Linked DNA regions of Danio rerio. The protein of the gene in region 2 purifies or fractionates together with the protein of the main gene of each other region. This does not show direct contact. Links are inferred from orthologs where the notes say so. Each region holds a gene or a part of one and is shown on either strand. Other genes may lie near its edges. The genes, in order: lyrm2 and ndufab1b.

Region 1 (4,604 bases), on a different chromosome or scaffold from region 2:
TATGTTGTTCTTAATTGTTTAAATAAGAAATGGAGAACTGTTTTTATGGACTATGTCAATTAATTAACATTCATTCATTCATTTTCTTGTCGGCTTAGTCCCTTTATTAATCCGGGGTCGCCACAGCGGAATGAACCGCCAACTTATCCAGCAAGTTTTTTATGCAGCGGATGCCCTTCCAGCCGCAACCCATCTCTGGGAAACATCCACACACACATTCACACACACACTCATACACTACGGACAATTTAGCCTACCCAATTAACCTGTACCGCATGTCTTTGGACTGTGGGGGAAACCGGAGCACCCGGAGGAAACCCACCTAAGGCAGGGAGAACATGCAAACTCCACACAGAAACGCCAACTCGAACCAGCGACCCAGCAACCTTCTTGCTGTGAGGCGACAGCACTACCTACTGCGCCACTGCCTCTCCCTAATTAATTAACAGTAATAGTTAATTAATTCTTTCATTAAACGCAGAGCTGACCTAAACTAAAACAGCTAATGGAGTATACACTAACCTGTGGGTTATTCATTTACAAAAACTGAGCCAAACAGTCCAAAACTAAAGCACACACACATGAGTGTGGATGTAAGTATATGGATGTGAACATATTCACTGATGGTGATTCTCAGTTCCAGGATGAGTCTGTGTTATTCAGTGGTTGTTATCTGGGAATAACATACCTTGTAATGTCACGACTGACCAATCAGAATCCAGTATTCCAGACAGCCGTGTGATAATCATCAATAACACCAGAAGTATTCAAGCTTTCTACATAAACCACATCTGTAAATGTAATCAGACGTGGACACCAGGACGGAGCGTTAGACTGGAGCTGTACTGAAAAGACGCAACTACACACAGAGTCTATATGAAGTGAGTTTGTTAAGCTGGGTTTTATTAATAAATGTGTGCATGATAAATAAATATAGATGTGTGTGTCCTCATTGTAGTCTGGGTTTTCAGCAGAGTTTCAGCATCCAGCCAGAGCCAGAGATCTCCTCAACTCCTCCAGATGATTGTGCGCTTGACTGATCATCATGCGGATGGCATCCTGCACAGGGAAAACACCCCATTTCACAAAACACCACGACTGAAGACTCAGTGGAAATAAATAAATAATAAAAACTCTTCTAAGCAATGTTTGTTATTGCTTTGCTTGTTTGTAATCTTGCTTATTAGAATAATAGAACGTTACTAATAAAATCTGAAAGTGTGTGAGGTGTCCACCTGGTCTGTGTTGCTCTTGTTCCTCCTGAACTCGTCTCGGGCCCAGTCTCGCAGGTATTTGCGGTCAGACTCGTGCGGGACCCTGCGGATGGTGCGCTGCAGATCTCTGTACAAACACAGCACCTTCTGTCTCTGCAGAAACTGAACACAACACAACATGGGTTTACTACAGCGGCTGGACTGTAAATGACCACACACACACACACACACACACACACACACACACACACACACACACACACACACACACACACACATGCATCCAGTTGCAAGAAGACGTACATGAACCCTCTGGGATTAAGAATAGACCCAGAGGATGTGTGAGGCAACAGAAGACAGATCCAACGCATAGAAGTAAATCAACAACAGATGAAAATACATCTTCTGGAGTGGCCCAGTCAGAGTCCTGAGCTCAACCCGATTGAGATACTGTGGCATGACCTCAAGAGGGTGATTCACACCAGACATCCCAAGAATAATGCTGAACTGAAACAGATTTGTAAAGAAATCAACAACAGAACGGCTTTACTAGAAGAAAATACACCTTCTGGAATGGCCCAGTCAGAGTCCTGACCTTAACCTGATTGAGATCTCAAAAAAGAGATTCACACCAGAAAAATATTCACATCTCAAAAATATTAAAATAAACTGGACAATAGAAGATTGGAGAAACGTTGCCTGCTCTGATGAGTCTCAGTCACATTCGGATGGTCGGGTCAGAATTAGGCCTCGACAACATGAAAGCATGGATCCATCCTGCCTTGTATCAGCGGTTTCCTGAGTATTGCTGCTGCCCATGTCCATCCCTTTATGAGCACAGTGTCTCCATCTTCTGATGGCTACTTCCAGCAGGATAACGCACCATGTCATACGTGTACTCAAATGGCCTCCCCAGTCACCAGAGCTCAATCCAATAGAGCAGCTTTGGGATGTGGTGGAACGGGAGATTGGCATCATGGATGTGCAGCCGACAAATCTGCAGCAACTGTGTGATGCTATTATGTCAATATGGAGCAAAATCTCTGAGGAATATTTCCAGTAGCTTGTTGCATCTCTGCCACGAAGGATTAAAGCCGTTCTGAAGGCAAAAGAGGCTTCAACCCGATACTTGGAAGGTGTACCTAATAAAGTGGCCAGTGAGTGTATGCAAATTATATACTGACATAGAAGTTCATATTTAGATTTGAGAAATATAATATGTCAAATACGCAACATGTACCTCAAAATATTGCGAAAAAACTATCTGTTTACATATGTTTCGACCATTAGAATTACAAATATGTACATACATGTTCAAATATTTTAGATGTTCTATAGCCATATATATGAAGAACATACGATGATAGCTGATATATTGAAACCTAACGTTATCTGTTTTTCTAATAGTTTGATATATATATATATATATATATATATATATATATATATATATATATATATATATATATATATATTTAAACAGACATTTTTCTAATATTTTGACATTATTTATCTGAAATGTAAACATAAGCTTGTACGTCATGTATGTAATTTGCATATAGCCTGTCAGATTTCTATGTCTCTCTCACACACACACACACACACACACATTTAGCTGTTGTTCGTGCTGCATACGCGTGTCCGGACAGCAGCTGTAGTGAAGATCAGCTCACTGTCGATCTATACTTGCTTTATCGCCAATGTAAGACACTTATAAGCAAAGATTTACCGTGACTTTACCTGTTTGAGACTCAGAGCCGCTGGTGGTAACCGAGACACCGCCATGTTCTTTCCTCTGCAGGAAAGTGGTGGGAGGGAATTGTTGTGTGAAACTAGAGGGGCGTTTTTCCATTGTCCTACCTGATTGGCTCGATTCAAAGTGACAGCGGTTTAGGGGTGTGGTCGATCATGTTCATTGGAACAACCCATTATTTTGGAAACACCCTCAAATTCAGAAACGCCCACATTTGCTGTGTAGTGCGCTGATAGTGCGCAATAAGGGGAGGAGTTAACCGATCCAGACCTGCGTTTTCTTTTTCATCTTTTGTATCTGACGAAGAGTTAGTCTAGAAGGGATACAGCTGCGGATAATCACGTCAGTATAGCATAATTTTTGTGTGACTGTACAATAATTAATATACGGGTTGTGTTTAGGGTTAGGATAGGGGTAGACGTTAACAAAATACAATTTAATGGGTAATATAATAAATAATATGAATAATGCTAGGTATAATTACAGGTTTAACATTACCGTGATTATTAGGTTTAGTGTTGAAGTAGGGGTAGACGTTAATAAAATAAAATTAACGTATAAATTAATGAATAGAACAAATAATTCTCGCTAACTTCCGTCCGTTGCTGTATCCCTTCTAGCAACAACCGGTTGGTTGCCGAATACCGCCATCTACTTGAAGAATCTAATATGTATTTTCAGTATTTTATAATAATTGTCAGAATTAAATTGCGGAGTTAATTGTAGTAAGTCTATATTTAATACAATTATGTTCGCAGATTTTCATGATGGCTGCCCATTATTTTACTAGTCACTCCAAAATTATTATTGTGTTACATTCTTCGTTCCACATAATTTATTTCACATTTATTATTATAACACTTAAACGGGTTGATCTGATTCTGTTGCATAAGCAGGGTTGACTTTAATTTTTCTTAAATCAAGAAACAGATTAAAGTTTGTTCATCCATTCGTGACTTCACAAAGCTTCTCTTGACAATTTCCCGTTTTATTCCTGCATATTTTATTATTTTTGTTTAGATTCTGTTTTTTCCCCCTTTGTGTTCGCAGGCATACATATCCTGTAACTATAACACGAAATAGCTTTAATGTAAAAATGTAATCTTTAATATTTGTCGGCTCTATGCACAGCTAGTGCCAATGATGAACTTCCTGTGAGATCTTTATGTGACTATTTTCAATTTCATAAGGTTCCTTTTACAGCCTTGATGTTGTAATGTAATTAAAATGCATTCAGTTCAATAGACTAAAGCATTAATTTAGTTGTTAAACCGTAAAAAGAGACGAAAGACAGTTTAAACGCAGGCACCATCATTACCCGCAGGCGAGCGCAGAAACTCCATTGAAAATACTGAGGTAAAATTAATTTCCATATTTTAAAGACATGGCAGGGGGAAATATAACTTAATGCAGTGCTTCTTGCTTGGACTGATACCCACTTTATATCCTATCTTAGCCAGGCAGTGAAGATCACTGATTTTTTTTAAAGAAATCAGATCTTATTTTGTATGGGATGACAATTAACCGGAAGCCCTGAGGCTGGCTGACTGAAAATAAAAGTCCGTGTGCATATACCCCACTAATATTTTTGGACTGATATTGAGTCTAAACCACATAGTGGAAGTATACAAAATCTA
Region 2 (3,231 bases):
TCTCTCAAGGAGCATTATGGGATAGCGCAGCGTGCATGGGATGCGCACTTCAGAATCTCGCCGGAAGTAGTAAGTCATCCGGGTACTTCTCGCCTACTGATTTTCAAATTCTATGAATTCGGACATTCTACTCGGCTAGCATACTGATTTTAGCGTACTAAATAGTATGGAAGTATGCGGTTTCGGACGCAGCCTAACTCTGCACACTTGAAGCAACAATAAATGTGTAGGGAAGAAAAATCACCATGTAAAAATGTGATAAAGGTTAACAAGCACTCCCACATGCTGTCAGTACTTGTTGAGTAATTACTTAAATATAAACGTATCGTTTGTAATAAATGTATACATGTCTGATGAAGACTGAAACGTTACTATTAAATAATCTATTCAGTTGTTGTTGTTGATAGTGGGCAGGATTGTTTGTTCTTCTATTTCTGGTAAAAAAGAATAGATCCACGCATTCTCTAACTGATAATATTACCCATAATACTCTGTGCGTTGGACATGAATTCGATTAGAGTTACAAATCTGGGTAAAACGTCTAAACAAACTACAAACATGTTAGAACACATGTGACTGAGCGTTAAGTGGAGAGGCTTTGGTAAAGACGTTTGAATGATTGTTATTTAATATCCAACCTTATGGAATATGTACTTGACGTTTTCCAGGTTATATTTAATCTGGAACAACAATGTAAACTTAAATAAAAAATAAAATTAAAAATCAGTCCAAGGCAGACCAGGGGCAGCCAAGCTGGAGCACGTACTCTGGTGCCCTGGGCTCTGCGATGGTTAGGGAAATTCAAAATTGAACATGAATCTTTATAATTGGCTTAAGATTGGCAATGAAAATTTAAAAATAGCAGCCAGCAGATCCAGGGAAAAAAATCAGTCCAAGGCGCTCAAAAACATGGAGGAAAAATATTAAAAAGTCTTTATTGACATAGCTATTCCTTAAAATGGAGCCATTTTGGCTGAATAGCCATGTCAATAAAGGTTTTTAATATTTTTTTCATTTTTGCTTTTTTTTTTTTCTGATGAATCTCTTCTCAGAACAAACACATTATTTAAGATTCCCCTGAGCACTTTTTGTCTGACTTTGGATTTTTCTATGAAACGTGTTTGGAAATTCTTCTAAAAGCGTAATTAACCAAAGACCTGATGAGATTTCTCTGCTTGAAAGAGTTGCTATTGGCTAATTCATTGTTTCCCAACCCTGTTCCTGAAGGCACATCACCAATACACATTTTCAACCTCTTCCTAATCAAACATCCCTTAATCAACTCATCAGACCATTAAAAGAGACTTCAAAACCTGAAATGAATGGGTAAGGTAAGGGATAAGGTAAACGTCCAAAATATGTACTGTTGGTGTGCCTCCAGGAACTGGGTTGGGAAACGCTGGGCTAGTTAACCTGCTGCTGACTCTCCATTATCATAGGTATTTTGATATGAAAGAAATGGGGATGATATGTCGAGATGAGTGACAGGGCACATAACTAAGCAACAGTCTGTTAATGAGGAAGTAGTATGTCCAAAAAATCATATTTATAATTATATTTATGTAGCACTTTTACAATGTAGATTGTGTCAAAGCAGCTGAACATAGAAGTTCTAGTAGATTGAAACTGTCAGTCAGTTTTCAGAGTTGAAGATCAGTTCAGTGTGGCTTAAATTTGACTGCTGAAAGTTCAAACACTGAAGAGCAAATCCACCGATGCACAGCTCCACAATTGCCAAACCAAGCAAGCCAGTGGTGAGGAACAAAACTTCACCAATTGATGAAAGTGAAGAAGAAAAAAAACCTTGAGAAAGCAGGCTCAATTGAGCACGACCATTTCTCCTCTGGCCAGACTTCTTGTGCAGAGCTGCAGACTAGGCGCTGGAGGCTGGAGAAAGCTAAACGTCCTCCAGCACCAAAACTGCAGTCACTTAAACGTATATACTTTCCCTAAACAAAAAAAGTATGTGAATTGGGACGCAGCATTGATTGGATTTACAGATTTATTACTTTCAATGTTCTTAGTTTACATTTGAGATCTACTTATTCCTAGCTTCTCACTGATATGATTGCCTTTTACTGTTTCCTTTAAAGCTTAAATCGACGTCTCACTTCATGAAAGATCTGGGGCTGGACAGCTTGGACCAGGTGGAGATTATAATGGCCATGGAAGATGAGTTTGGTTAGTATCGGGTTTGTTCATATTAAGTCATCTCACAACTGTGATTTACTCTGCAAACGCTTTATGTGAATGCTGGTGCTCAAAGAGATTGTGTCGTTTACAGGGTTCGAGATCCCAGATGGGGATGGAGAGAAGCTTATGACTCCTGAGGAGATTGTAACATACATTGCAGATAAAAAAGATGTGTATGAATAGAGGCAAGTCACATGGTATGCGCTATTGTTTTTAGTTAAGCTAATCTATTTAGATTGTAGGAAATCCAGTCATGCTTGAAGAGATTGGTAAGAGTAACGTTTCTTCGCTCTTCTCCTGCAGGTATGGAGGATTGACTCTGTATTAAACAATATGGCTGCAGCATTGAGTTCCAGTTGTACTATCTCCAGTCTCTTGTTTATGGAGTCAACTGCCTTGTCATGTGTACTGTTGTATTTAATGAAAATGTCACTATAAACTTTTTGGGAACTTGAGCTGAAAATAAAGCCAAGACTAAATTGTAATGCTTTGTTTTGTCATGATCTACGACGTGAAGCCTCACTGCTCCCTCTGGTGGTTGGAAAGAAACACTGCTGTTTGAGTATAATAGGTTTCCAATTCTGTTTCTGGAGGGCCAATAGTTCTAAGTTCTTCAACACGCTTGCTTGGAAGTCTCTGATCAGCTGGTTGAGGTGTTTTATTTGGACAGTAAATTTAATGTTCTCTGGCTGCCATGATCAGTCTCTCACAATGTTTTTTTCTTTTCTGAAAGTCTTGATAATGTCATCTTATAGTTTTTCTCTTATTTGTAGGACTCCCTATTTACTGTGCTCTAAGTTTACCTTGAGAAACCTAGAAATGTGAAAAGGGTCCATTAGACAAACTTGGATTAAAAAAAAAATGTTAAAGCTCGTATCCTAACAATCCACTTCTAATCAAATGCTGTGTTTTGAACGAATATAAATGAAACTGACTAAAGACCCCTAAATGGGAAAACAACAGGACATTGTCATTAACCGAGGCCATAAAAATGGCATATTCCTGCTTTCTTCTCTTTAAAGGAACTAAAACCAATTT

Evidence for each region.
Region 1: the proteins of ndufab1b (region 2) and lyrm2 purify together in Homo sapiens (affinity purification with mass spectrometry; 3 studies listed by BioGRID and IntAct, counting the BioPlex papers as one, with this or other methods). This does not show direct contact. The link is inferred for Danio rerio from reciprocal best matches to the Homo sapiens genes NDUFAB1 and LYRM2.

Annotation. Positions count from the first base shown.
Region 1 is NC_133195.1:1,238,286-1,242,889, reverse strand, and holds the start of lyrm2 (LYR motif-containing protein 2), read right to left. Parts: upstream 3,045-4,604; 5' UTR 3,000-3,044; coding exon 2,955-2,999; intron 1,377-2,954; coding exon 1,236-1,376; intron 1,060-1,235; coding exon 979-1,059; 3' UTR 576-978; exon of another isoform or gene 421-575; 3' UTR 1-420. UniProt on the Homo sapiens protein: Involved in efficient integration of the N-module into mitochondrial respiratory chain complex I.
Region 2 is NC_133178.1:34,393,636-34,396,866, reverse strand, and holds the end of ndufab1b (NADH:ubiquinone oxidoreductase subunit AB1b), read left to right. Parts: intron 1-2,093; coding exon 2,094-2,181; intron 2,182-2,284; coding exon 2,285-2,376; 3' UTR 2,377-2,390; intron 2,391-2,496; 3' UTR 2,497-2,678; downstream 2,679-3,231. UniProt on the Homo sapiens protein: Carrier of the growing fatty acid chain in fatty acid biosynthesis.